Saccharomyces cerevisiae S288C: one gene and its partners. The main gene of each other region encodes a partner of the protein of the gene in region 3 in a complex. Each region holds a gene or a part of one and is shown on either strand. Other genes may lie near its edges. A codon is read from its position in the direction of its gene.

Region 1 (5,792 bases), on a different chromosome or scaffold from region 3:
GAATAAGAGAATTGAGAAAACCTTAGAGAAGTCGACGTTTCTTTATGGACAGGACTACGTAAAGACAGCTTTTTCGGCTAAGGAAAAGAAACCGCATGTTGACAAAACCACCATTCTCAATGGTTTAAGCAAGGGGGAACACAGGTTTCCCTTTAGGATACGAATACCACGAGGCAGAGGAATGTTGAGCTCTATAAAGTTCGAAAGGGGCTCGATAACATACTTCCTCTCTTGCACTTTAGAATCCCTCAACAACATCAACGGATTAAAAAAACCGGAAGCAAGATGCGAACGTGAGTTTGCAGTCATAGTTCCGCTGGACGTCTCGAGGCTGCCCAAGCCGAAAACTAAGACAGTGGTTTTACAATCAGCATCTATGGTCCAAAACAAAAAGAACAAATCTACAGAGGACGAATCCTCATCGTATACACAATTAACTCAAAAGTCTACTACTTCTAATTCTTCTAGCAGTTCAGTAAACTCCAAGACGTCCCCCTTACCAAATAAAACGGTGACTATATCCGTAGACATACCGCAGGCTGGATTCATGATTGGTGAAATTATCCCTATAGACGTTAAGATTGACCACTATAAGCCTTTCTATGCCCCTGCGGGTCTCACCACCACTTTGGTGAGGATATGTAGGGTGGGCGGTGCAGGCAAAGATGATCCTATGGAGACTTTCAGAAAAGATATATGTCAGAGTATCTCTCCTATATATATTAACCCTGAAACGTTGCAGTTTCAATCTAGAGTTTATCTGAAAGTGCCCCTTGATGCATTTTCGACCCTTACTACTGTGGGAAAATTTTTCTCCTTCCAATACTATATCGAGGTTATGGTTAACTTATCAAAAAAAAACGTGGTTTACACAGAATCTAATAGAATAATAGGAACTCCTATTGGAGAACAAAATGGCTTGGGCGTAGAGAATAATATCAACCGTATCCAAAGGAAAATGCTACGTATGGTCAATCCAGAAACGTTGGAGAACGATTCTGAGGGTTATGAATCCAGTATATTTTTCAAAGATATGGTAAATGTGGAAAAGCTAAAGAGACTGAGGAATGTAACTGGTATGTCCATAGAAACCGTCATAGGAACGACGAGATCCGAACAGCAGCAATCTGATGCAAGCATCCCATCCCAATCCTCAATCACGGCTCCTCAAAATTCTCCATCGAATTTAAGAGATTGGTTGGCCCCATTAAATGCATATGATAGTGACGATGTTCCAGTTCCAAAGTATTCGCCAAATGATAAAGTCAGTGTACCGTCGGAAGACAAACAAGAACTTGAACAAAAAAGACTACAACAGTTAGAAAGCGATCCTCCCCCTTGTGATGACTATTAAAAAGTGCAGGTAACAAGTCATATACTCGCAGCTTGCGCCGTGTTGGAACTAGGCGCCTTAATCATGTTTGCATATTTCCACTATCCCAGCCACGTAATGATCCATGACATTAACATAGAAAAAAAAAATCGAAGCATGCACAAACCTGAGATTTATATATGTTCATGTGTACTTAATATACGTTTAATGATTAAAACTATAGCCGTCCTCAGGCAAACTGAGATAAGAAACGAAAAAATAGCAGTAACGTAAACGTTATTCTATATTTATAAAGACGTCAAAAAAAAAAGTGATTGTGATATTGAGATGTAAGCTATATACCGAACTTTGAGCTCCCTCACGTGGAAAATATGATAGATTGTTGCCTCATCATTGCGGAACCGCATTTTTTTTTTGTATTTTTGCCTCCCTAGTTTCAAAATGCACCAAATTCTCCCCTTAATGCTTTTTGTTTTAAGTCCCAAATAGCCATCCTTTCATCATCGGGCAAGATAGAAATTTGACTGTCATTCAGTTGTAACACCTGTTTCAGTAGTTCTTTCTGTTTGTTAAGCACAGCTGGATCCACCACCTCGTTCACGCTATTGTTATTCGTAGCCGATGCCTCTTCTTGCGGCCTGGAAGCTAACGGGATCAAATCATCCACTTTACATATCCCATTCGTTAGCAATAATTCAGCCGTAACAAAACTCAACTGTGGACACAGCTCTAATAGCGAAACAGCATCTTCAGGATGCGCTCTTGTCCATTCTTGGAATTTTTGTAAAAATTTCAACTGCACCTCTTTCGGTTTTTTAGCTAGTTCGCTCGATATCATCATAGCAGGGGTGGTCATGTTTATGTTAACGTCGATACCAGAGGGCAATTCTGGAAACTTTTGACTTAGAAAATTGGCATTTCCGCTGTTTTGAAAGTCCGGCCCATTACTATTATTATTATTATTTCCATTGTTGTTATTGTTCCCATTAATGTTGTTGTACTGTTGTTGTTGCTGTTGTGAAACTCCCGATATATCACTATTGCTGGAGTAACCGCATTTCAAAAACCTAGAGCCTAATTGGTATCCATTCAAATTACGTACTGCGCTGGCACTGGACTCTAAATCTCTAAATTCAATAAACGCGTACCCTTTCGACCTACCAGTTTGGGGGTCGAACATCATTTTCAAATTGATCACGGGCCCAACATTACTACATAAATCAAGTATCTGCTCCTCTGTTTGATCGTATGGTATAGAACCCAGATACACCACTCGGGATGGTGGGTTGTTCTGTACCCCCGCATTCACACCGCTCTGCCTATTCATTTTATCGTTTTCGTCTTTTCTTTCAATGTATTGATAATTAACGTGTCTATGTGATGCTATTGGTATATAGCCTTTCTTGTATATCCCTCTAACAATTATTACAAGTGTTTCTGTTTAAAGCAAGTGCTAGAAGTGACTCGGTTCTCTTAGGAAATTCTAAACGCAAGATTTCTCTTATGGTGATTGTAACAATTATGAGATACTTCACTAGCCCACCTTAACTTTACGGACCTTCTTTTGAAACGATGCTTCGAATGACAACGCCTTTTTGATATATAATATCCAATTTCATTATAGGGAAATTTTCAACTCTTACCCGCCCCACTGTGCTGATATGACCAAGTGATCACTCGATGATGGGACTACGTATTGAAAAATATTGAATGAAAAATTACTCAAGCAGCAGAACATTCACAGTGTAGTCAGTCCGCATAAGAGCATTCATCATGGATAGTAAGGAAGTACTGGTACATGTTAAGAATCTAGAAAAGAACAAAAGTAATGATGCTGCAGTTCTAGAAATCTTACATGTCTTGGATAAAGAATTCGTCCCCACTGAAAAGTTACTGAGAGAAACAAAAGTTGGTGTGGAAGTCAACAAGTTTAAAAAATCCACTAATGTAGAGATCAGCAAACTCGTGAAGAAAATGATTAGCTCTTGGAAAGACGCAATTAATAAAAATAAGCGTTCCAGGCAAGCACAGCAGCATCATCAAGATCATGCGCCAGGCAATGCAGAGGACAAGACAACTGTAGGTGAGTCCGTGAATGGTGTTCAACAGCCGGCCTCCTCCCAGTCAGATGCCATGAAACAAGACAAGTACGTCAGCACTAAACCAAGAAATAGTAAGAACGATGGTGTGGATACAGCTATATACCACCACAAATTACGTGATCAGGTACTAAAAGCACTCTACGACGTTTTGGCCAAGGAAAGTGAGCATCCACCTCAATCTATTTTGCATACTGCAAAGGCCATAGAAAGTGAAATGAATAAAGTTAACAACTGTGACACCAACGAAGCCGCTTACAAAGCCAGGTATCGTATAATTTATTCAAACGTCATATCAAAGAATAACCCAGATCTCAAACATAAAATTGCCAACGGTGATATAACACCTGAATTCTTAGCTACATGCGATGCCAAGGATCTGGCACCAGCGCCCTTAAAGCAAAAGATAGAAGAAATTGCCAAGCAAAACTTATACAACGCACAGGGTGCCACCATAGAAAGGTCAGTCACCGATAGATTTACATGTGGTAAATGTAAAGAGAAGAAGGTATCTTACTATCAATTGCAAACAAGATCTGCGGATGAACCATTGACCACTTTCTGTACATGTGAAGCATGTGGTAACAGATGGAAATTCTCTTAGAATAGAAAAAGATGAGAGTAGCCACGGACAGAGCAAAGGAAACAATAGGAGGAAGGGACAGAAAAGCCTGTTCTGACTCTATTCGTAGTAGTATTTGACAGCCGGAATCCAGGAAAAGAAAAAGCCAAACATACAACCATATCCAATTTGTTGAAATGGCATATTCATATACGATGTACATATATACATATACTGCTGGTGTTAATTTTTTTTGTCTGTCTCACGTAAAATCTTTTGTTCGTCCAGTTACTTTTAATTATTTATGATTTTCATGTTTTCTTTATTAATCTTCTATGCATTAAATATGGCTCGGTCAGAACTAAAGAAATACAATTTAAGATGTAACAAAACCGACGAATAAAAAGTTAGAATAAACACAAGAAGCAGAAAGTAGATACTACAGCCACACATAATGCTAAGAGTTATATGGAAGCATAGTTCCAGAGTCACTCGTTCGATAGAACTATCGAACATTTCTACCACTAATCACACCAGGAGTTTAAGGAGGCTTTCCTGGATTTCTCCGAGAAGATTTTACGCTCAATCTTGGGACGACAGACAGCCTAATGACAAAATAGATGCACACATAAAGGTGCAGAAACTCATGGATCAAATAAATTCGAGGCCTAATGTTCTGGAAAAGTTAGAAAAGGTTAGCAATATCATGATCGAAAAAAAATTGGTTAATCTAGATGGGACTTCTGCCAATGAAGAAAATACGATGAAACCATGGCAAATGATTAAGATCTTAATGGACAGAGATCTGAGACACGCTATGAAGGAATTTAAATTGGAATTGGAAAAATCTGGCATACAGTTAGGACCTGAACAACTGGCCCCGCTAATGACCGTTTTAGGCCTTGAGAAGAAAAAATGAGAGGTGAAAGTAAAAAAACATTACCTATCTGTCTTACTAGCGCCTTCCGTGTATAAATATTACGTACTACTACATAAATACTCATTAGGAGGATTACATAATTTCCATTGTATCGTATACTAGGTCGCATCTTTGCATATTATAAAGCTTGCCAAATAGGGATATACTGCCAGCACTGTTACATTTGTCATATTGACATCATTATTTTTACTATTCACAAGGTAAGCACGTTTTTTTTTAGTTTTCTTCATCTAACCAGTCTAGGAACTCAGGAGCCAAATAAGTGATGATTAATCTGGCACCCGCCCTCAAGAAACCTTGATGAGATTCAAAGGCAATTGTCTTCAAATCAACAACACCTTTTTCAGCTGCAGCATGTAACATTGCGTATTCGCCCGACACGTGATATGCGCAGATTGGTAAGTCTTTACAAATTTCACTTGCATCCCTCATTATATCTAAGTAGAAAGTGGAAGGCTTAACAATAATACCGTCGGCACCTTCACTCATATCCCTTTCCAACGCCCTACGTGCCAGGCCACGACCGGCAGGAGGTAATTGGTAACATTTCCTATCACCATTCGAAGGAGCTGAACAAGCAGCATCACGGAATGGCCCATATAGATTACCGCTAAACTTAGCTGCATAGGATAACACGAAGGTCTTGTGAGCCAAGTTTGCATTTATTAAGCCTCGTTTAATATCTCTGATCCTACCATCGATCATATCACTGGGAGCCACACAGTGCGCACCAGCTTTAGCGTAGTTAACTGCCACAGCTGCTAATCTAGAGACACTACGTTCTCTATTAATAGTACCATCATCGTATAGAACCCCGCAATGGCCATGAGAAGTGTATTCACAGAGACAGACATCGCA
Region 2 (6,571 bases), on a different chromosome or scaffold from region 3:
ACCAATGCTCCATAATGTCCCTCATGACCCATCTCTGCCGGGGCAATGGGAGGCCGCCAAAAATGAAAAGCAGAGTCAGTTTGAACAAAGTAACCAGAATTTATCTCAGGCCTCCTCTGAGAAGAAATGGTACAAGTTCTGGTGAAAAGAACGAGGGGGAAACAGAAGGTAGAAGCAGGGCCTTTTAACCGTTTTCCTATGTATATATGCAACATTTCTCCGAAAATACTATAACTTCAATTGTTCACTTTCTCCATTTCTATATAAAAAGCATACATAGAGTTACAAATTTTATATATTACTTGACTGGTCTTGCATGCCGTCCGTATCGCTGCTGTGATTGTCATTATCTTCTTTAATGGACAATTGTTTAAACGTTTGTGTGGTTTCCTCGGCAGAGTTTCTCGTAGGCGGTAAAGAAAATGAATTTTCTGTTCCCATCAAATTGTCTGTATCCTCATCTTCGCCATTTTTGCCGCCGCCATTGTTTCGTACCCCGTCCTTGTTTGAACTTGACTGTGAATGATTCGGTGTGGATACCGTTGAGGACCCCTTGGATTTGGGTAAAGATGTTTTTGATGTGGAAGGTTGGCTGGTTCCTTCTAGTAGTTCATTGAGCACCACGTCATTCCCACCCGTTTCCTCATCGCTGTTGTATGCTTCTCCAGCAGTCTCTCCATCACCACCGATGGTCCCGTATGGCCCATCTGCTTTTTTGCTGAAGGGGTCGTCTGCATCACAAAGTAGTTCGTCTAGCCCGCCTCCAGACCAACCTTTCCTTGCAATATTTTCAGAAATTTCCACTTGTGCCCTAGATACCGTGGCAACTTTGCTGAGTACTTTGTTGCATGTATTTTCCACAAGTTCGTATGAATCCATGTAAAAATCGTGCTTTAGTGTCTCCAGTTGATCTAACCTTGCTTGCAAGCTAGAAAGGCTCTCTCGGTATGAGATTAAATTCCTTATTTTTCTTTTCGAGATATCGAAGTTATGTCTTTCCTGCAATTTCAATTTTAAACTTTGCTCTTTGCTTTGTGCTTTGAACTTGTTCTCCATTATCTTGGTCTGTAATTCGAATTCATCAATATCATCAATTAAATTATCTCCCAACAAGTCATTGAAATACTTTGACATTATAAGCTGATGATTAGATAAAAGGTAGAATAACCCACTGGCACTCAATAGTTTCTCCGCCGTTTCATCATTGCAACCCTTCAACTTGGCAATGTTTTCTAAGGAATGGGCAATTTCTGCCCCATTCTGAGATGTCTTTAATAACGAATCCGAATAAGCATTCGAGTTCCTGAGTAATGTCGATAGGGCTTCCTGGGTCTCTTTCACATCTCTCTTTGTGATTAGCGTTTGCAAGTCGTTTATTGTGCTCGTACCAGAAGTTATGCTCGATGCCCGACGGGCCTTTGAATACACTTTGGATGAACGTAAATGGTTCATGTCGTCCAGATGGTCGTTATTTTCTGAGCCAGCACTGCTAGCCACTGGTCTTTTACTATTTACAATTGGGTAAAATTCAGATAGATGAGGCGCGTATCTGTCGGGAGAGACGTCAAAATGGTTACCGTTGTCCCAGTCAACCCTCAGTCTCTGGTCACTTGAAGGAGATCCCTGCAATTGCTCCGTATTATTGTCAGGCATATCCGATTTCTCTTCCTGTTACTTTCTTTAACAATATTTTATTCCTTGGTGAAATTTAATTGACCCTTTATTCAGAATATATACTTCTATTGTATGGATATGGTTTTTTTCCACTTAATGTTTAGCATAAATTTCCATCTCACCCTTTTCTTGTAACATATCGCCCAATATTTTTTTCTTTTGCCCGCATTGACCATTTTTTCCTGTAAAACGAGTAATGTGAGCAGTAGAATAAGTGTATATCATCCGTTAAATAAGGCGCAATCTACCGAAGTTTGAGATCTAACTCAAGTTTTTATAAATTAGATACGTTTTTCCTTACTATTCTACATGAGATGGCCATTAGCATGAGATGACTTCAATACGCACTTCTGTTGGAACGCAGATAGGATGTTTACACTCGTCTGCTCTATTCTTTGTACTTTCAATAGAGCAAAGCAAGTGGTACCAATGAAGAGAAGGCCCAGCTGTTTTATTCCAGCGGCGAAGAAGTCTAGCCTATTCCTAATGTATTAGTACAGCTATACAGAACTTTCTCAGTCTAATTTTTGATGTACTTTTATACATAGATTTACACACTTTTCAAAACGTACTTACGTAGTCGGTTCAAGGGATACACCAATTTAGCCAATGAAGCTGGGCCCCAAGTGATCAGAGTTTCGTAATTGAGCTAGGATTTGCTGCTTTTTATTCCCTTTATCACCAAATGGTATTACCTAGTGCATCTAAGTTTTAGTTTACCCGGGCGAATTTTTTTTAAGGACTCGACGCATTGGATGAGAACTTGGCCTAAGGCATGGGAAGAAAGCGAAATTTCAAAAATTAATGAGACAATGTTGTTCTACTGTTAAGGGTTTAGTAGTTTAAAAGTCTCTCTTTCAATTTTGCATTGCAAAGAATTACCAGGACAATTTTCGGAGCAGTTAAGAAAACTGTACTTGAAAACACTAGGTCTATTTGTAATACTCTCTTTTCATTATGGATCACGACACAGAAGTTATAGTCAAGGATTTCAACAGTATTCTTGAAGAATTAACTTTTAACTCGAGACCCATTATTACCACTCTCACGAAGTTAGCAGAAGAAAACATTTCGTGTGCTCAATATTTTGTTGACGCCATTGAGAGTAGAATTGAAAAATGTATGCCTAAGCAGAAGCTATACGCTTTTTATGCCTTGGACTCCATTTGTAAGAATGTTGGCAGCCCATACACAATCTACTTCAGTAGAAATTTGTTTAACTTGTACAAAAGAACATACTTATTGGTGGACAACACCACAAGAACAAAACTCATCAATATGTTTAAGCTTTGGTTGAATCCTAATGACACCGGCCTGCCTCTGTTTGAAGGCTCAGCACTGGAGAAAATTGAACAGTTTTTAATAAAGGCCAGTGCTCTCCACCAGAAAAACCTGCAAGCAATGTTACCAACTCCGACTGTTCCCCTCCTATTAAGAGACATTGATAAATTAACTTGTTTAACTAGTGAAAGGCTAAAGAATCAACCAAATGATGAAAAATTAAAAATGAAACTGTTGGTTTTATCTCAGTTGAAACAAGAACTGAAAAGAGAAAAACTAACTCTCAATGCTCTGAAACAAGTTCAAATGCAACTAAGGCAGGTCTTCTCACAGGACCAACAAGTTTTGCAGGAAAGAATGAGGTATCACGAACTTCAGCAGCAACAGCAACAACAGCAGCAACAGCAACAACAACAACAGCAGCAGCAGCAGCAGTATCACGAAACTAAGGATATGGTCGGTTCTTACACACAAAACTCTAATTCAGCGATTCCATTGTTTGGAAATAATTCAGATACAACGAACCAACAGAATTCTTTATCTTCCTCTCTTTTTGGTAATATTTCTGGCGTTGAATCTTTTCAAGAAATTGAGAAAAAAAAGTCCCTAAACAAAATCAATAACCTCTATGCATCTCTTAAGGCTGAAGGGCTCATATATACTCCACCAAAAGAATCCATCGTAACGCTTTATAAAAAGCTAAATGGACACTCAAACTACTCTCTTGATTCACACGAAAAACAATTGATGAAGAACCTGCCAAAGATACCCTTATTAAATGATATTCTTTCTGACTGCAAAGCTTATTTTGCCACGGTTAACATCGACGTTTTGAATAACCCATCCCTGCAGCTGTCCGAACAAACTCTTCTTCAAGAAAATCCCATCGTCCAAAATAATCTTATTCACTTATTATACCGATCCAAGCCAAATAAATGTAGCGTGTGTGGTAAGAGATTTGGCAACTCAGAAAGTGAAAAACTACTACAAAATGAGCATTTGGACTGGCATTTCAGAATAAATACAAGAATTAAGGGATCACAAAACACAGCAAATACAGGCATAAGCAACTCTAACTTAAATACAACTACCACAAGGAAAAATATTCAATCAAGAAACTGGTATTTGAGTGACTCTCAATGGGCAGCCTTCAAAGATGATGAAATTACCTCCACAAAGCATAAAAATGATTATACTGATCCGCATGCCAATAAAAATATCGATAAAAGTGCCCTAAATATTCACGCTGATGAAAATGACGAAGGCTCTGTAGACAACACTTTAGGAAGTGATAGAAGTAACGAGTTGGAAATACGGGGAAAATATGTTGTTGTACCAGAAACTTCACAAGATATGGCCTTCAAATGTCCAATTTGTAAGGAAACCGTTACTGGCGTTTATGATGAAGAATCTGGTGAATGGGTTTGGAAAAATACTATTGAAGTGAATGGCAAATATTTCCACTCGACATGTTATCATGAAACGTCGCAAAATTCAAGCAAATCTAATAGTGGCAAGGTCGGTTTGGATGACTTAAAGAAATTGGTCACAAAATAAGAGCAGAACTGCATATATACATTTAAATTTAATAACTATATATTATATTAAATTCTTTGTTCTTGGTATTTGATGGGTTGCTCATTTGTTTATTTTTTTTTTTTTTTTTTTTGCTTATGTGTCCATTATATTATATGTAATTTTACATATGTAGCCAAAAGCCCAACTAATCATTAAAATCGATTAAAGACCGTAAAGTAAATTGTTCATTATAGAAGAAAACGACAAAGAAAAACAGGGTACACTTCGTTACTGGTCTTTTGTAGAATGATAAAAAGTCAATACGGTTTTATCTCCTTATTCACTTGAAAATCTTTTTCCATCAATTTGTTAATTTTAGCATCTTTTTCAGATATTTGACTTCTCGCATTTTCAAGACATTTCTTTGTAAAAGTTAAATCACCTTGAAGTGAAGTTATTCTAATTTCATTCCTCATAACTTCATCTGACAAAGACCGAATAATTTCATTTGCAACAGCCAATTGTTTTTCCTTTTCATCCAGCGCCGATGCTGCTTTCGACAAAACGATATCCACAAAGGAAAGACCATCTTCTTTCATGTCCTTCGAACATTCGGTGACACTATCCTTATTATCAATTTCAAGTTCTGTTTTTTGGGTTGATGTGTACATATTTGATTGTTGAGTACCAGTTTGTGAATGTGTTCCTAAAACGTCAACACTAGTTAAAATTTCTGTTGTATTACTGTCTGTTATATCGTCGAGTTGTTTCACTCGACGATCTTCAACGATTGGAACCCTTTTTCCAACAGAAAAATAGCCGTAGGACGCAGGTCTTGAGAAAGAGAGTGAGATGTTTTCTGATGCGTGCTTCCCATTTCCAGGGATTATTTTTGCTTTGTTAGAATTAAAAATACTGTCGAATTGCTTCTTTTCTGGTAGGGTTTTCGTTTCCATTGTGCTCAGCTGCACCAAAGACTTCACATCTGGCGGAGAAGAAGGCTTCACATTTTTAACCATTAACGGTTTTTTTGTAATTTGCAGTATATCCTTAGGCATAATTTTGGCATCTGCCATATGCTCGGGCTCGACCACATGTGGTTTGACCGACGTGGATATAGAAACAGGTTCACAGGACTTCTGAATATCAAATCCCATGTTGGAAACAAATCTCTGAGTCTTCATAAATGACCAAAATCTGGCTTTTTTTGCATCAGGCTTGTTCTGTAATTCGTTGTAGTAAATCTTAATTTCAGAACTCATTGGGTAATCTTCTATTTCACCTTTCAGTATAATGATGTCACTCTCTCTAAAATTATTGGAAATTGCTGATTTAAGGTTGTTAGCAAATATATCTTTAAGTAACTGCATTTTTTCGTTAATTATTTGTCTATCACTGTCGGAAAGCTCCGAAGGGAACTCATCAACCAACGAAACGGAAATAAGTTTCAAATTTGCAAGCCATTCTTGCCTCCAAGAGCTTTTTGAAAGGTTCTCCTTCGTGTTTTTGGGTTTGCTAGAATTAGTATCACTATGCGACACTCTTCTATTGCTTTTAGTAGGCGTGGTACTTAGCTTTGTTTCTTCGAATCCTAATGGAGAAGACACGGTTGGAATTTGGGATGGTTTAGCGGAAGAAGAATTTTGTTCTTGGCTATGTTTCCCTATATTGATATTTTTATTGGTCACATCATTTTTTTCAGTGTTATTTGTGTTTTCAAATGTAGAAACTGCATATAATGGCAAATATTGTAATCTGTCCTTCTTGTGCACTTGTTGGTAAAAGAAAGCACTTGATGTTTCATAGTTTTCAACAGAGCAAATGTCGTTAGTCACACTAGTTAATGGATTGCCACTTAAATAACTATGTTTTGGGATCCCTTGTTCAATAAGGTCAGTTATTGTTTCTTTATCGTATGTCGTTTTATCAGCTATCCTCCAAAGAATGTTTTTCGTCAATTCACGATCAGATTTTCGCCAATCCAATACAGGATCAAACCATTTGCCTGCCTGAATTTGGTCCTTTTCAGCACTTGTATCTAAATCATTAGTTACTTTGATTTCATTTGATTCACCAGAGCTTAAACTTTCCAAGTCAG
Region 3 (7,076 bases):
AGTATATAAAAGCCTCATCCTCGGCTCGCCGCACAAAGGTGACGATTTTTGGGCTAGTATCAGCAATACTTCTATTCCCTTTATTTAAAGAAGTCCAAAATTCAACATAGCATGAGAATATCATCAACATTGCTTCAACGCTCGAAGCAGCTTATAGATAAGTATGCATTATACGTGCCCAAGACGGGCTCTTTTCCTAAAGGATTTGAAGTAGGCTACACTGCATCTGGAGTCAAAAAAAACGGGAGCCTGGACCTGGGTGTAATCTTGAATACCAATAAATCTCGTCCTTCAACCGCAGCAGCTGTTTTCACGACCAATAAATTCAAAGCTGCGCCAGTTTTGACATCGAAAAAAGTCCTTGAAACTGCTCGTGGTAAAAACATCAACGCTATTGTAGTCAATTCCGGTTGTGCTAACTCGGTCACAGGTGATCTTGGTATGAAAGATGCCCAAGTAATGATTGATTTGGTTAACGATAAAATTGGTCAAAAAAATTCTACCCTAGTCATGTCTACAGGCGTTATTGGACAACGACTACAGATGGACAAGATCAGCACTGGTATCAATAAAATTTTTGGAGAAGAAAAGTTCGGCAGTGATTTTAACTCTTGGTTGAACGTAGCCAAATCAATCTGTACTACTGATACTTTCCCAAAATTAGTTACATCTAGATTCAAATTACCTAGTGGTACTGAGTATACTTTGACAGGTATGGCAAAGGGCGCGGGTATGATTTGTCCGAATATGGCTACCTTATTAGGTTTCATAGTTACAGATCTTCCTATTGAAAGCAAGGCGTTGCAGAAGATGCTGACTTTCGCTACTACCCGTTCATTTAATTGTATATCGGTGGACGGTGATATGAGCACCAATGACACAATTTGCATGTTGGCCAACGGTGCTATTGACACCAAAGAAATTAACGAAGACTCTAAAGATTTTGAACAAGTAAAATTGCAGGTCACAGAATTTGCTCAGCGCTTGGCCCAGTTAGTCGTTCGCGATGGTGAAGGTTCGACAAAGTTTGTTACTGTTAACGTTAAAAATGCTTTGCATTTTGAAGACGCCAAAATAATTGCTGAATCAATCTCAAACTCTATGTTGGTCAAAACCGCACTATATGGGCAAGATGCCAATTGGGGAAGAATATTGTGCGCGATCGGGTATGCAAAGCTGAATGACTTAAAATCTCTAGATGTCAACAAAATTAATGTTAGCTTTATTGCTACCGACAATTCAGAACCTCGTGAGCTGAAGCTTGTCGCTAATGGTGTGCCACAATTGGAGATCGATGAAACAAGGGCTTCTGAAATATTGGCTTTGAATGATTTGGAAGTGTCTGTCGACTTGGGAACCGGTGATCAGGCAGCACAATTTTGGACTTGTGATTTATCACATGAATATGTAACAATTAACGGTGATTACCGTTCATAAATTCATGTATATTTTGTTCAATCTTTCTTTTATAAGCATGGTTATATAAACGCACAGAAACAGAGTGTTTCCTGTACCTTCTGAATGAGTTTGGCTATTGCCATATTTTTGAAAGAATTAACTATTTCCGTTTTTATTTATGTACGAGGCACCTTAACTATCCTGTCACATCGTTTTTTTTTTACTTAATTACATACAGAGGTTCGCCTATTATAATAGATGTGTTGGTATAAATATTCATATATACCTATTTATTAACGTAATGTTAACCTGACTTGGTGCTCTCAACTGTTGGAATCTCTACTTGATCATTTAAAAAATTCACCAATTTCTGCGCATCGAGTAAATTTGTATTAAAATATTGACGTTTTGGTATAACGCTCAATAAATCAAGAACCTCTGTTGGAAGCTCTGAGTCTCTTTTGAATTTCTTATTGGAGAAGTTTCCATTGTTTCCAGTTTCCTCCATTAGTCTCTTTCTATCTGACGAACTCATATTGTAAGAGCCATGATGGCCATCCCCGTTTCCAGAAGAAAAGTAACTGTCTTCTTCCTCATTATACATATAAGTTAACTCTAATTTCTTTATTAAGTTGGAGTTTTGAATTTGATAACGACTTGTGAAAACTTCAATCAAATTTTCTTGGGGGAACCGTTCGAAAAATCTTTTCTCTAGAGAATAAACGTTGTTTAAGTTACCGAATTTCGATTCATAACTTATCATTTTCTTGTATATTTCCTTCAGCTGGGTTAAATCTTGCACTTTTTCCACTGATGTTTCAAATAAGGTTTTGATCTGCGAATCCTTATTTAAAAATATTAAAAAATCTAAGTATTTGTTGATATAAACTCCATCGTTTTGGAAGTATTTTAAACCCAATTCTAAAACCTTAAAAGCAGTCTTATAATCGTTTTGATTTTGAAATTCTAAATATGCATTTTCCACGTAGACGTCATGTGTTAATATACGCTTCAGTTTACGACATTTACCAAATACAGTACGTGCTGCGGATAGTCCTGATATTCTTTTCATCGTATTCATATACACGCAAAACACGAATGTTAATTTTTCCCTCTGTTTGTATAGCAGCTCTTGTTCATACTCTGTGTTATTATCTTCACCCGAATTTACATCGGAGGCGATCTTTTTATACTGCGATAGTAAAGTTTGAGTGCACTTGTCAAAACAGTTAGAAACACTTTCAGAATCATTATCCAGTTCGTAGCATTCGGATAACTTGAATGTAAGAGAAGGTGAGTCGGGATTAGCTAATAACGCAGTATATAAGATATTTTGTCGATCCGAATTTTCAGATATATACATTGAATAATCGTACCACATTTCAGCAGAAAATATCATGTATTGAATACCTTGTTTATAAACGTAACTGATTCTTTGTGATAGCATATCTTCACTAAGCATCAACTTATTCTCCCTTTCCCATTTTATCCAATTCAACCAAATCTGTAACTGCTGAATGTTTGAGTCTGAGGTACCTGGTTGTGGTATGTTTTTCTTGTTTGCTGTGCGCAGATTAATTGGAGATGCCCTTTTCAATCCATTAGTAACGTTCAACCATTCCTGGTATAAGGAACGGGCTTTCATGTATTCGGCTGATAACTCGCCAATAAATTTTCTGGCTGTTAGGGAATTTATTTCTTGTTCCCATTGAGTGTATCTATTCCACATTTTTTCTAGATTATCAAAAGGAACACATAGCATTTTCTTGTAGAATTCTCTGAGCATGTCAATTCGCTGTTGCTCCTCCCATTTGTTGAATGGCTTCCACTGCTCTAAAAAATTGAGATATTCGTTCCAAAAAGAAGATGATTTGGGTTCAAAAATTGCACACTTTTGCATAACTAGTTGGAATGCCTTGACAATAACAGCTCTCGCCTCTTGTCCACCAGTAATTAAGTTGTTTTTTCTGCGTATGTAGTCCAAATATGTTGACCAAAGAGATAGGTCATTATTTTCCAACTTGCCAGAAAGACATTGAGCCAAAATCTTCTCAACAGTCTCAAATTCATCTCTTGCCAATTCACCCTTTAGTTGCAAAGTCCACGCAGGTGAATAAAACGGGAATGTGTTATGAAATTGCTCGTATACTTCTCTCACCTTAGCGTATGACTCTTGAGTTTCCAAATATTGAATAAGCTGGAAGTATGATAAAATATTCGTGGGATTGTCTTTAATCCTTTCTCTAAGTCGTAGTTCATCTCCATGTATATTGTCACTAGGCTCTGCGACTTTGTCCGCAGAGGGATATAGTAAATCAGGAGTCGTAGAGCTGGACATATCTCTTGTTTGACTCTCCAGTTTGGCCTTTTATTTCGTTGTAGAATACTCTTTCATCACACAAGCTACACTTTTCTTCTTAATTATTACAAGGTAACCGACAATTTTGTCACGATTGTTATCATTTTAAACGAAGTGGGAAATGTAATAAGAAATAAGCTATTTAGAATGGCTACTATTTAATGCTGGAATTTGTATTTTTCAAATAAACGCAAAGCAAGGCTATTATCGAGTCAGTAATGGTTAAAGGTAGTGTGCATTTATGGGGAAAGGATGGCAAAGCATCGTTGATTTCAGTGGACAGCATTGCGCTTGTATGGTTTATCAAGTTATGTACTTCAGAAGAGGCAAAGAGTATGGTTGCGGGATTGCAGATCGTATTCTCAAACAATACAGACCTATCATCAGATGGAAAACTACCAGTGTTAATTTTAGATAATGGAACGAAAGTATCTGGTTACGTGAACATCGTACAATTCTTACATAAAAATATATGTACTAGCAAATATGAGAAAGGTACGGATTATGAAGAAGATTTAGCAATTGTTAGAAAAAAGGATCGCCTTTTAGAGTATTCCCTATTGAATTATGTTGACGTTGAAATTTCCAGACTAACGGACTACCAGCTCTTTTTGAACACCAAAAATTACAATGAATATACCAAGAAGTTGTTTTCAAAATTGCTATATTTTCCTATGTGGTATAATACGCCATTGCAACTAAGATCGCAAGCACGTGAAAATTGTGAGGAGATTATAGGCTCACTGACCCTTGAGGATGATGAAGAATTTGTAGAAAGTAAAGCAATGGAGTCAGCCTCGCAACTAGCACAATCAAAGACCTTCAAAATTGCGCATAAGAACAAAATTAAGGGTAAGCAAGAGCTACAACAGGTGAAATATAATCTTCAATTTGATAATAGACTACAGAGTTGCGTCAGCAATTGGTTGGCTGCCCGTAAAAAACTGGATGATTCTGTAATACTTTCCTCCGACCTTCTTTTCCTTGCAAATCTTTACGTTCAGTTAGGCCTACCTGATGGTAACCGCATCCGTTCAAAACTGGAACAAACCTTTGGAAGTGAATTATTGAATAGTATGTCGAACAAAATTGATGACTTCGTCCATAGACCAAGTAATAACTTGGAGCAAAGAGATCCTCAATTTAGAGAGCAAGGAAACGTTGTGATGTCATTATATAATTTAGCCTGTAAATACATATAATAAAAATAAACAAAATAATGCAGAAAGGTGTCTTTAAGTTCATTTTTCAATTTCTTTTCGGTTTTCGTACTCCTTTATAAACGAAGTAATAAACAATTGTACCATCATCGTTAATTATGGCCAGCAGTATTCTTTCAGTAGATGGACTACATAAGTGAGTAAATGTCTGGCTCAAGCATTCCAAAGTGAGAAAATTCTCTTTGTACTGTGACATATTGATGGGTAATATGAACTCTAGCGGGCGTGGCGATGACAAGCTATTTTCATGCTCTGTGTCTACATCGTTGCTCAGCTTGTGAGGCGGACGACCTCTCAGTAATCTCAGGCTATTTCCCTTCCATGATAAATCGTCTTGTAAAATTTCCACTTCCGTCCACATTTGGAAATAGAGTAAATTATTTTTTACTAGAGATATGATATCTGTCGTTGCCATTCTTATTTTCCTCAACCTCCTCGACGTAATTTCTCTTCGACAATTTATTATATCTTTCATATATTTCTGATGACTTTTTCATTTTCACTTTTTTTCAACCCATAACGGCTTTTTGTTCAAAAGAAACTGATCATGTCATCGATTAAAAGTAAAAGTATGCACATCAGCCTCGTGACAGATGAGGATCTCATGTCAAAAACCGCCAAGAAGCATGCATTATTGAATTTGAAACGTGGTAGATTATTAAGTATATGTCTATGTAATATTAAGTAAGACAAGGGCATTCACTTTACATGCAAATGCATTTGGAACCCTTGACCGAAAAAAAAAAAACAGGTTAACCGCAAAATACATGATCTTCCTTTATTAGAAGAACCGTTTGGCTTTAGTTAAAAATTGATGCTTTTCAGTGGAATGACGATCTTCGTTTACCTGACGCTCTTCATTTTCATCAACCTCATTTAGCAAGACTTCAGGGTCCACGTGCAAGTCTCGAATAACCTTTTCGGTCGCATCTTCCATATCCATCATACCATAAATTGCAATTGTGATAATACCAAGAATACCGGCAAAGCAGGAGAATGTCATGGCAATAATACCTTTTTTGGTAAAACCGGTAGGAATGAAGGCATGCTGAACATTTTCACCAGTTAAATCAGTTAAATCCAGTGTATTGGCAGCGGCGTTACCTTCAGTGGCCACAGAGCAACTCTGGCAAACTTCTAAGTGGTTTTCACTGAGTTGTTGAGAATGAGCATCTTGGATACCAAAAGGATCCTCCACGAGAACAAGACCCAAACCTTGCAACAAATGCCATTCGATATGACAATGGAAGAACCAAACACCTGGGTTATCGGCTTTAAACCTGATGACGAAATTGGATTGTGGTCTAACGTATAAAGTATCTCTTCTCATTGGGTATTCTGGGAAGGCAGGGTGGTTGTCCGGATCGAAACTGTGAGGAACTTCACCTAGGGCATCATCATATGTACGATCTCTCTGGATGGTTTGGAAAGCGTGACCATGTAAATGGAAAGGATGGGTACCTGTGTCCTGGTTATTTAGCACAATCTCCACGATTTCATCCTTCTCTAGGATGAAAGTGTGCGTGTTTGAACCGTAGATTTCGGAGTTGTTTGCTTGATCACCTGAAGACAAAACGGTCATCAAAGTAGGAACTTTTGGTGCAGTATAGGTGATATTATTGAAGAAGGCGTAATTCACACCGTTTTTCAAGTTATCCATAACAACGTCAACGGTAATCACATGATCTGGCTCGCCATAGATGGCTTCTTTCTCGTACGGTTGCAAGTAGAAATCGTCCAAGAAGTTATCAATTGAATCCACGTAATTTTGTGTGGGCAGCGCAGCGGTTTTGTTGTAGACCATATAAGAGGTTGCATTCAGCTGTAAATCACTTGGAATGACATCCAACATGGTGTCATCAAATTTCTGCATGATGGCGAAATTTTTGTCCGTGTCGTTTTTAGTGTGAACCAGGACTGTATATCTCTGAGCGACAGTGATGTAAAGCATATCCGTTACGTTCTTCTCGGTAGTGATACCGTCGATTTCGACCACGGTCATTTCGTGGTCCTCGATCCAAAAGTACTGCGAAACGAACCCACCCACGTTGACAATTCTCAAAAGATACGTCGTATCGGGCTGGACTTCCCATGTCAGA

What was found.
Region 1: the proteins of RNA14 (region 3) and RNA15 are in contact, whole or in part, in an NMR structure (PDB 2L9B), measured with the Saccharomyces cerevisiae proteins. Residues at the interface, in NP_013777.1 of Saccharomyces cerevisiae: Glu630 (codon at 1,849), Leu631 (codon at 1,846), Pro632 (codon at 1,843), Glu634 (codon at 1,837), Val635 (codon at 1,834), Leu636 (codon at 1,831), Leu638 (codon at 1,825), Leu639 (codon at 1,822), Ser640 (codon at 1,819), Val641 (codon at 1,816), Ile642 (codon at 1,813), Pro643 (codon at 1,810), Lys644 (codon at 1,807), Arg645 (codon at 1,804), Tyr647 (codon at 1,798), Phe648 (codon at 1,795), Thr650 (codon at 1,789), Leu652 (codon at 1,783), Leu653 (codon at 1,780), Asp654 (codon at 1,777), Ala655 (codon at 1,774), Gln656 (codon at 1,771), Lys657 (codon at 1,768), Leu658 (codon at 1,765), Val659 (codon at 1,762), Phe661 (codon at 1,756), Leu662 (codon at 1,753), Asn663 (codon at 1,750), Val666 (codon at 1,741), Glu667 (codon at 1,738); in NP_011471.1 of Saccharomyces cerevisiae: Phe145 (codon at 2,228), Glu147 (codon at 2,222), Leu148 (codon at 2,219), Pro149 (codon at 2,216), Ser150 (codon at 2,213), Gly151 (codon at 2,210), Ile152 (codon at 2,207), Asp153 (codon at 2,204), Val154 (codon at 2,201), Ile156 (codon at 2,195), Pro161 (codon at 2,180), Met164 (codon at 2,171), Ile165 (codon at 2,168), Glu168 (codon at 2,159), Leu169 (codon at 2,156), Lys172 (codon at 2,147), Leu178 (codon at 2,129), Lys179 (codon at 2,126), Phe180 (codon at 2,123), Leu181 (codon at 2,120), Gln182 (codon at 2,117), Lys183 (codon at 2,114), Phe184 (codon at 2,111), Gln185 (codon at 2,108), Trp187 (codon at 2,102), Thr188 (codon at 2,099), Arg189 (codon at 2,096), Pro192 (codon at 2,087), Ala195 (codon at 2,078), Leu198 (codon at 2,069).
Region 2: RNA14 (region 3) and PCF11 share a complex: the UniProt entries of both Saccharomyces cerevisiae proteins name them as parts of the CFIA complex.

Annotation. Positions count from the first base shown.
Region 1 is NC_001139.9:414,377-420,168, forward strand, and holds RNA15 (Rna15p), read right to left. Parts: upstream 2,661-5,792; coding exon 1,770-2,660; downstream 1-1,769. Other genes in the region: RIM8 (Rim8p), read left to right, coding at 1-1,354; transcription elongation factor DST1, read left to right, coding at 3,107-4,036; YGL041C-B (uncharacterized protein), read right to left, coding at 4,328-4,510; DPC13 (Dpc13p), read left to right, coding at 4,449-4,913; porphobilinogen synthase HEM2, read right to left, coding at 5,151-5,792. UniProt on the Saccharomyces cerevisiae protein: RNA-binding component of the cleavage factor IA (CFIA) complex, which is involved in the endonucleolytic cleavage during polyadenylation-dependent pre-mRNA 3'-end formation and cooperates with the cleavage factor NAB4/CFIB and the cleavage and polyadenylation factor (CPF) complex.
Region 2 is NC_001136.10:919,867-926,437, reverse strand, and holds PCF11 (Pcf11p), read left to right. Parts: upstream 1-2,631; coding exon 2,632-4,512; downstream 4,513-6,571. Other genes in the region: COX20 (Cox20p), read left to right, coding at 1-145; IVY1 (Ivy1p), read right to left, coding at 292-1,653; chromatin-silencing protein SIR4, read right to left, coding at 4,791-6,571. UniProt on the Saccharomyces cerevisiae protein: Component of the cleavage factor IA (CFIA) complex, which is involved in the endonucleolytic cleavage during polyadenylation-dependent pre-mRNA 3'-end formation and cooperates with cleavage factor NAB4/CFIB and the cleavage and polyadenylation factor (CPF) complex.
Region 3 is NC_001145.3:389,415-396,490, reverse strand, and holds RNA14 (cleavage polyadenylation factor subunit RNA14), read right to left. Parts: upstream 3,737-7,076; coding exon 1,703-3,736; downstream 1-1,702. Other genes in the region: ARG7 (glutamate N-acetyltransferase), read left to right, coding at 112-1,437; SAM complex subunit SAM37, read left to right, coding at 3,976-4,959; SEN15 (Sen15p), read right to left, coding at 5,006-5,392; ferroxidase FET3, read right to left, coding at 5,759-7,076. UniProt on the Saccharomyces cerevisiae protein: Component of the cleavage factor IA (CFIA) complex, which is involved in the endonucleolytic cleavage during polyadenylation-dependent pre-mRNA 3'-end formation and cooperates with the cleavage factor NAB4/CFIB and the cleavage and polyadenylation factor (CPF) complex.